2 linked regions of the Macaca mulatta genome follow. The protein of the gene in region 2 interacts with the protein of the main gene of each other region in a biochemical or structural test. Links are inferred from orthologs where the notes say so. Each region holds a gene or a part of one and is shown on either strand. Other genes may lie near its edges.

Evidence for each region.
Region 1: the proteins of NUB1 (region 2) and UBD form a complex in vitro, tested with the Homo sapiens proteins (6 studies listed by BioGRID, with this or other methods). The link is inferred for Macaca mulatta from reciprocal best matches to the Homo sapiens genes NUB1 and UBD.

Annotation. Positions count from the first base shown.
Region 1 is NC_133409.1:153,782,193-153,786,575, reverse strand, and holds the start of UBD (ubiquitin D), read right to left. Parts: upstream 2,820-4,383; 5' UTR 2,454-2,819; coding exon 2,427-2,453; intron 1-2,426. UniProt on the Homo sapiens protein: Ubiquitin-like protein modifier which can be covalently attached to target proteins and subsequently leads to their degradation by the 26S proteasome, in a NUB1-dependent manner.
Region 2 is NC_133408.1:190,801,021-190,804,647, reverse strand, and holds part of NUB1 (NEDD8 ultimate buster 1), read right to left. Parts: intron 1,332-3,627; coding exon 1,185-1,331; intron 817-1,184; exon of another isoform or gene 1-816. UniProt on the Homo sapiens protein: Specific down-regulator of the NEDD8 conjugation system. Recruits NEDD8, UBD, and their conjugates to the proteasome for degradation. Isoform 1 promotes the degradation of NEDD8 more efficiently than isoform 2.

The DNA.
Region 1 (4,383 bases), on a different chromosome or scaffold from region 2:
CCTGTTCAGTAGCCAGTGTCCCTCTCTTTCTTGGAACTTCTCCTTTGGAATTACCAAGTTGCAACACAAATAAGAAAATTTGTCCCATTCCTTTATAATCACACCTTTTTTTCAATCTTGAGAATGAAAAATAAAATCCTGAGCCCCCAACCAATTGAACGGACCCTCTCTTGCTCAGAGGGACCCTAGAGAAATTTTAAGAACTTAGTCATTGGGCCAAGGGCAGTGGCTTATACCTGTAATCCAAGAACTTTGGGAAGCTGAGGCAAGCTGATCACTTGAGGCTGGGAGTTCGAGACCAGCCTGGCCAACTTGGTGAAACCTCATCTCTACTAAAAATACAAAAATTAACCAGGCGTGGTGGTGAGTCCCTGTAATCCCAGCTACTCGGGAGGCTGAGGCATGAGAATCATTTGAACCCAGAAGGCAGAGGTTGCAGTAAGTGGAGATGGCACCACTGCACTCCAGCTGGGGCAACAGAGTGAGACTCTGTCTCAAAAAGATAAATAAATAAAATACCTCAGTCATGATGAAACAGGAGGCTGGACATGCCTCATTATATCTTCTCCCTTTTGCAGTTTAGACACAACTGACTAGCAACGTTAGAGATTATAAGACTGAAAGAATGGATTATTGGTGGCAATAAGATTTTTGTAGCAAATTTTAAACAAGACCTAAGGCTATAATAGGCAAGAGTTAAGTCATGCATCCCTACACTTAAAGAATAAACTATGTTCTAACTGCCACAAAGTATTTTTCTTTTTTCTGTAGCAGCTAAACAAGCACTGGCCTCGAGAGGAACAATATTAAAACAATTACAGTTCATCCATAGGCTAACTGACCCCCTGTTCCTCAAGCCATAACTACAGTTTTAATTGGACAAATGACTGATTTCAGTAATTTTCTCCTGATAAGAGACCACTGACCATGGACTGGTTCTGGCTAGTCTACAGAAGCTGCACATTTGAATGCCTTTGTGTCCCTGCTTCGCCTTTTCATGTATAAGGCCTAACTGTAATGCAATTAAATGTTAAGTCTCCACCTCAGAGTGACCATGGGTGGTATATAACATGCAAGCTTATTCAACATGCATGCATTAGGACTCCCTTCATGAATATTCATTGCCTCTGCCATAACCTATTGGATATGTATACTTAGCAAACCCCTTCAGCATAAATTCCTGTGTCACTTTCCTCCTACAAAGCTTGCTTTTGGTTTTCAACCAGAAGCCGAGCTTCTCAGCTTGTTAGAATGGCTACCTTGCAGACTATAACCCTTCATAAGAAATGAAGTCTCCTTTCTAAATTTATAAATTGTGTGATTTTTTTTAGTTGACAATTTTTTATTTCGCTTTTCTGTGCATTTCAATAGATGTAAAAAACATACCTTTATTCATCTCGAGATGTAATTAAAGGTTTTCCACCTTATTTACCTGCCTCTCCTATCCAGATAAAGTTTGTCAAATGTCAAAAAAGTAAATACAGAGCTTCAAAAGATGTACACCAGACTCTAAAAACAACTGTCAAAGAGAATTTCTAAAATATGACAGCCTCATAAGATACAGCAATAGGATACCCTCTGTCAATACTTCAGAAGGAAATCCTGGGTAGGGCACATAATCACTGAACTGTTATTTTTTTTTCTAATCTCCCACTGCTTTACAATAATAACTTACATATTACAGTGACACTACGTTCAATGTTTCTTGTTAATTTATATTTCTTGTATTTTTATATCTATCTAATATAGAATACGATCTCCTTTGATTAGACCAAGGCCTCACTCACAGAAGGTAGGGACTATGTCTAAGTCTTACTTCAATAGCTGGAAAACCCTAAAAGACTGGAAAACTCACTCCTAATGGCCACTTGAAAGCCTGAGAAGACCTCCCTCATACTCCATTCAGAAATATTTTCCCAATCTAGATATTGCAGACATTTCTTCACTGGAGGATCTGTGTTAAGCATTGCCTTAATTCCAGGTTCTCTCCATAGTGCATACTTTCTTATATAATGTAATGTGTTAGATCATTAACAACTTCAGATAAATGAGTTTTGTGAAGCTCTCCTTTGAGAGGAAAGAGAAGATTAAGTTTAAGAACCCTAAAAAATGTTTCCATAATTTCAAATCTCACCAGCCCTGTGGAACACAAAGCTCACCCCCACTTTTTTTTTCTACCATTTATCCCTAAGAGTAGCTAGTCCAATGTTTGATTAAAAAAAGAACACAGAAGCCAGATAACCAGCTTCTCTTCAGACAATCCCTCTTCCCATTCTGCAAATGTCAATGCCAGCCTCTTCCCCTTAAGGATGCCTGCCCAGCCACCCAGAGCCCTGAGTACTGTCCATCCCCCGTTTCTAAGATCTCTCCCCAACTCTTGAAAGTGCTTTTCCTTTCCCCATCCCCTTTATCAAATCCCAACTTACAGAGAGGCAGGAAGCATTGGGAGCCATCTTTGCAGTCAAGGGGCCAGAAACCAGAGACAGAAAAAGGATTTTAACTCCAGCTTATATACCAGCGTTGAATTGGAAATCCCCTCCTGGATTGCTGTGTTTGTCCAGCTTTGCTGTGCCCTTTGTTCTTGCATGCTCCCATGAATTTTCTTTCACTTTTGCTGGGCAGGAGTTAATAAACAAAGAATGCTTTCTGATTACGTACTTCTCCCCTCAGGCAATCTATTTGCAATCCTCATTCCAAAAGGGATGGTCTTTCTGTGTTGAAAACTTTTCCCTGATTAAAAATCCACTCCTCCTCTCCCAGTTCTGACTTATTACTGTCCGTCCTGTGGCCTGGGCCCTCACTGGCGTGAAGACCTGTAATGCTTGCTGAACCTCTCATGCTGCCTTTAAGAGCACCCCATTACTCAGGGGCCGTCCTAAGAACGAGAGCACCCAGGCAGGATACGGCAGTCAGCATTGTGTGGAGTGCTGTGACTGTGAGCCTGACATGACTAGTCTGGCAGAAGGTGTAAAACATGCCTTAAGAAGACATAGGAGAAATAACCTCAGACTGAGAGGAGATACGAGTTAGAGTCCCAGGAGGGCCACTTGCTACATTACCTTGGGCAAATCCATTCATCTCCTTAGATGTTGGTTTCCCAGTCTATAAAATGAGATGACTGGAAAAGATTCCTAAGTGTCTTCCAGGCTCAGAAAACTTTGCTTGTAAAATTCCCTTTGCAAAATAACATTGGATTTCTGGGTCTTGAGCTCTCCAACATACGTCCTACCCTGTCCCAGAACCTGCAAACCAAATCCACTACTTGAGAACAATCCTAAGCCAACAATTAAATGCTGACTCCTCACTTCAACACACAAAGCAATCAACATCCACTCTCACACTGCGGGGCCTCTATTTCTCTACCTTTACTCCTGGATGCACCTCACCACTGTGATCTCAGACAAACCTAAAGGTGCCGCTCTCTCTCCCTCACCCTTGAGACTTAGATGGAGACAAGAAAGGTGTGCCTGTCCCGGGGAAGTTTACTCCATCACTCTGATCCTCCTCGTATCCCAAATTAACTACTGCCCCCTCCCAAACTCTCAGGGCATTGCTATGGAACCAGTTTTTAAAAGCTTTTTTTTTTTTTGAAATGGAGTCTCACTTTGTTGCCCAGGCTGGAGTGCAATGGTGCGATCTCAGCTCACTGCAAGCTCCGCCTCCAGACTTCAAGTGATTCTCCTGCCTCAGCTTCCCGAGTAGCTGGGATAATAGGCACCTGCTAATTTTTGTATTTTTAGTAGAGACATGGTTTCACCATGCTGTCCAAGCTGGTCTCGAACTCCTGATCTCAGGCAACCTGCCCGCCTTGGCCTCCCAAAGTGCTGGGATTACAGATGTGGGACAACGTGTCCAGCCTAAAAGTATGTTTTCAAGTGCTTCAAATCTTTTCAAAGTAGGAAGCTCTTTAAAATGCCAAGTTATCTTCTCTGTTTGCAGAGGCATTTACTGTACCTTCACTCACTGACAGATCGCAAATGACCCCATCTTATTCTAGGAGGTTCTGTCCTGGAGAATCGAATTTACAGAAGTACTGGATTGATGTAGAGTAATAAAATGCAACAGCTCATTTCTCTACTTCAAAAGCTTACTATAAATCATGTTCTTCTATATGAAGCTTTTATTAGATAGCTAATAAAATTGAAAACATTAATTATTATTTAAATGTATTTTGTGGAGTAGACATAATTTTTAATACACAGGCAGGATAATTAAAAAGCAGAAGAGTGCCTAATGGAATACATTAGGAACCACTGGCCTCTGCTATTCTCCTTTCAGATCTTTCTCCAGGTCCCTGTGACCCCTTTGTGTCTAGAAACTAATGTTCTGACCTTTGGCTGCTACACAGCAGATAAGGGCTGCCCCTCATCCGTTGTCCAGTGG
Region 2 (3,627 bases):
TGACCCTTGGTTTCTTCGTCACACAATACTTAATCTTAAAAGAGTCTGTGGAGACTTTCCTTTCCAACACTCAATACTTCTGTGTTGACTGGAGGTATTTATGTGCTACTCCTATAATTCCAATCTACTTCGAGACCCATCAGTCCCTTCGGATGTTCAGAATTTCCCACCTCTTCATATTTCTCCAACACAAAAAAATCAAAGTAGATATTCAAATACAATTTTAAAATTTAACGTATACATTAAATATACATATACATCATAACAGAAGTACTGACTTGTGGAGCCTTCCAGGGAACAGGGCAGGGATAAGAGACAAAGGCAGGGTGGACCCCCGTGCCTGCTGCACCCACACCCACCTCAGCAGGGCAAACGAGTACACCTGCCCTGCCCTCCACCTGCCTCCACCCCCATCTTGCCCCCAGCCCCGCCCCCAGCATGCACACAACCTAAGCTAGCTCCTGCCTGCCATGCTGCCCCAGCATCTGCCTGGACTGCTGCCTCCACGCAGCCAGCCCCCTGCCTCCCGTGCACCCCTGGGGACTCCCTACCACGCGTGCTCTGAGTTTGTCTCTCACTGAGCTGTGGGGCTGAGGGCAGAGGGCGCTTCCATACCAAGCTGCCGAGACGCAGCACAGCACCTGCCCTACTGAGGATTCCATCTGCTTCTCCAACACAGGGAAGGAAGCGGCCCAGGTAAAGTCACTGCTGTCTGGATCCCAACCTGCTGTCACTCCTGAGGGGTTCTTTGAGAAGCTTCCCCTTTGCCAACATGTACTATGGACTAAATAAATAAAACTAGATACTTAGTTAAAATTTTAATGCCAAACAATTATACTGCAAGTTGAATTACCATTCTCTTTTTCTGCTGTGGAAACGGCCTGTTTACACTACACTCTGCTGCACACACAAACCCTACATCAAGTCCTGGCCTGTGGACTCCGCTGGTGTGGACAGGCACCGTGTTCTGGAGCCAGGCCTGGGCCAGGCACTGAGCATGGGGCCTCATGGGGCCTCACATGGCCTCTGTTGGGGCTGGAGCCCAGGAAAAAGCTGCCCTTCAGATCTGATGACGGGCCAGCCCATAGGAGTGAGCCTGGGAGGACGCCCGAGAGCCATGGAGGGAGCTCTGGGCAGGACCCACTGCTCAAGGACAAGGCCAGAGGCCCCGAGGGAGCGGCTACCTTCAGGGCCTCGTCCAGGTTCCCGCTGGCTGCGTGGAGCGCCTGCTGGGCTGCGTGCGTGGAGTAGCCCATCCCTTTCAGAGACCTGATGTTCTCGAGGCGGCGTCTTTTCTTCTCTTTTTCCTCCTTCCTTATTTGGGCCAATTCCTTTAGGAAAACAGCAAAGTCCCATCCCAAGTTAGGGACTGAGATTTCACAGCATCTCAGTCTACACTCTGCAGGATTCTCGGGGTTTCCAGGCAAAGCCAAAAAACCAAAGCAAAGCACAGCAGGACCTCTGTCTACCTCTTTTCACCCAGCCAAATGGCAGAGGTGCCACAGAGGCAGAGGGGTGGTGGAAGTGCTGCTTCTGAGGGCAGGCAGTGGAAGTGAGACGCCTGTGGGGCAGGAAGGAGGTGCCTCATGAGCCCTGCCATCCGGCATCAGGATGGGCCACTCGCCCAGCCCAGCGCGCTCCCACTGCAGAGGTCGCAGGCGTGAGGTGCATGGATTCTCTTCTAGCAACTGGGCAGAAGAGCTTTCTGCATGTGGTGGGAAGGCCTTCCAGCCTTTGATGAATCGCCCAGGGACTCAAATTCAAATGTGATGTGGAGTCAGGGGGCTCCTGGGCAATGCCATGGTTGATGACCCACCCACCACAGCTTGGGGAGCAAGGACTCCAGGGCCTTCTGAGGCCTGTCATTCCATTCAGAACCCACAGAATGCCCAAGGGACAAAGGTCATCTAACCTCTTGGTTCTCAACCCTGTTTCTCAGAGTTGCCTGCCATTGCTGCAGGAGCACAAGGCGGCTGCATAAGGTTCTAGTCTCTTCGCCTCTCCCACCCAGGGCCAATCAGGAGGGTTCCCAACTTATTTTGTAAACTAGTATGCCCATAAACATGTCACTTAAAAAGGGGATTTTGCTGCTTAAAAACAACAACAAAGTAAGTTTGAAAACCAGGAATTTAATCCAACCTCATTATTTTCCCAACAAGGAGACAGAAAGCTTTCAACAAAGCTAAGTGACTGCCACATTCTCCCAGGGAGACCAGCTCCACCATCAGCAGCAGTGAGGACGGGGGAGAAAACAGACTCCCCTCCTTCCAGAGACCTGCTCCTGCCTCCCACCCAGCCCAGGCAACAGGCGCCTCCCTGCGTTTTCCCCACAGCAAGAAAGTGGCCTCATCTCTTAGGAAAACAAAAGCACCATCATCATGGAACCAGACTCCACAGTGCCACGGTAGGAGCAGGCAGAGCAGAGTGGCTGCTGGAAACATCTCCAGGGATGAAGATACCTGTACACTCATGGCCTGTCTCTATCACAGGAGAACCTCCCCTAGTTGGTGTACATGGGTGCCTCTCTGCACCCCGAGAATCCAGCTGCACCAGGCCTGTCTCATGCCCCCATTACGTGCTCTACCTCTCAGCGGCCAGTCTCCCCCAGCTCCAGCCCCACTGCACAGCGCAGTGGGCTCCGTCATTCCAGTCACCTACCTAAAAGCCCACAGCAGCTCCCGACCACCTCCCCACACTGAGGCACCAGCTCCTTATTATGCTACTCAGGGCTCCCACTCCCTAGCCCCAACAGCGCTTCCAAACTGACCTTATCCTGCCACACAACCCAACCACGCACGCCAGCAGGAGCCTTTCATGCCACTCACATTTGCACTTTTATTCACACTTACACTCCACATAAAATGCCTTTACTGGTCCCATCCTCTGCTTTCAATACAGTTTCTTCCATTTATATTCCAAAAGGCTATGAAGCATGCCTAACATCCAAGCACAGAGAAGGACGCTGCCAGCCAGCAGACCTGGGCATTACCTAACACAGACCTCACATCAACTGGGAGCTTCGAAGAACACTTCCTTTCATTACAAATGTCTTAGTCTGTTTCCTTTTAATCATGTAAACACACGTGAGAAAATTATTTTCTGATATATTTCTCTTTATACTAAGATGAGTTAGAAAGATAAAGTAGATCAATCAATGACAGTACTGCACTGAAGTGGCTACAGTTAAGTAGAATCAGATTTCAAGAGAGAGACATTGTATGGTCACAAGCAGCTGGGACAACCTCTTAGGAAGGCTGCCTCTCATAGTCTGGCCATACTGAAGCATGATCTGTGATCTCTGTTTCTACAGCTGTTGCTTTTTGCCAGATGAGAAACTGGTCTGTACTCAGGGCCATGTTGCACAAAAAATATAAACTTTAAAAATTATGTATTAAAGGCTGGGTGCAGTGGCTCACACCTGTAATCCCAGCACATTGGGAGGCCAAGGTGGGAGGACTGCTTGAACCCAGAAGTTTGAGACCGACCTGGGCAACATGGTGAGACCCCATTTCTACAAAAAATACAAACAAAAATCAGCCAAGAGCTCTTGGCAGGAGGATCAGTGGAGCCCAGGAGATCAAGGTTGCAGTGAGCCATGATCATGCCACTGCACTCCAGCCTGGACAA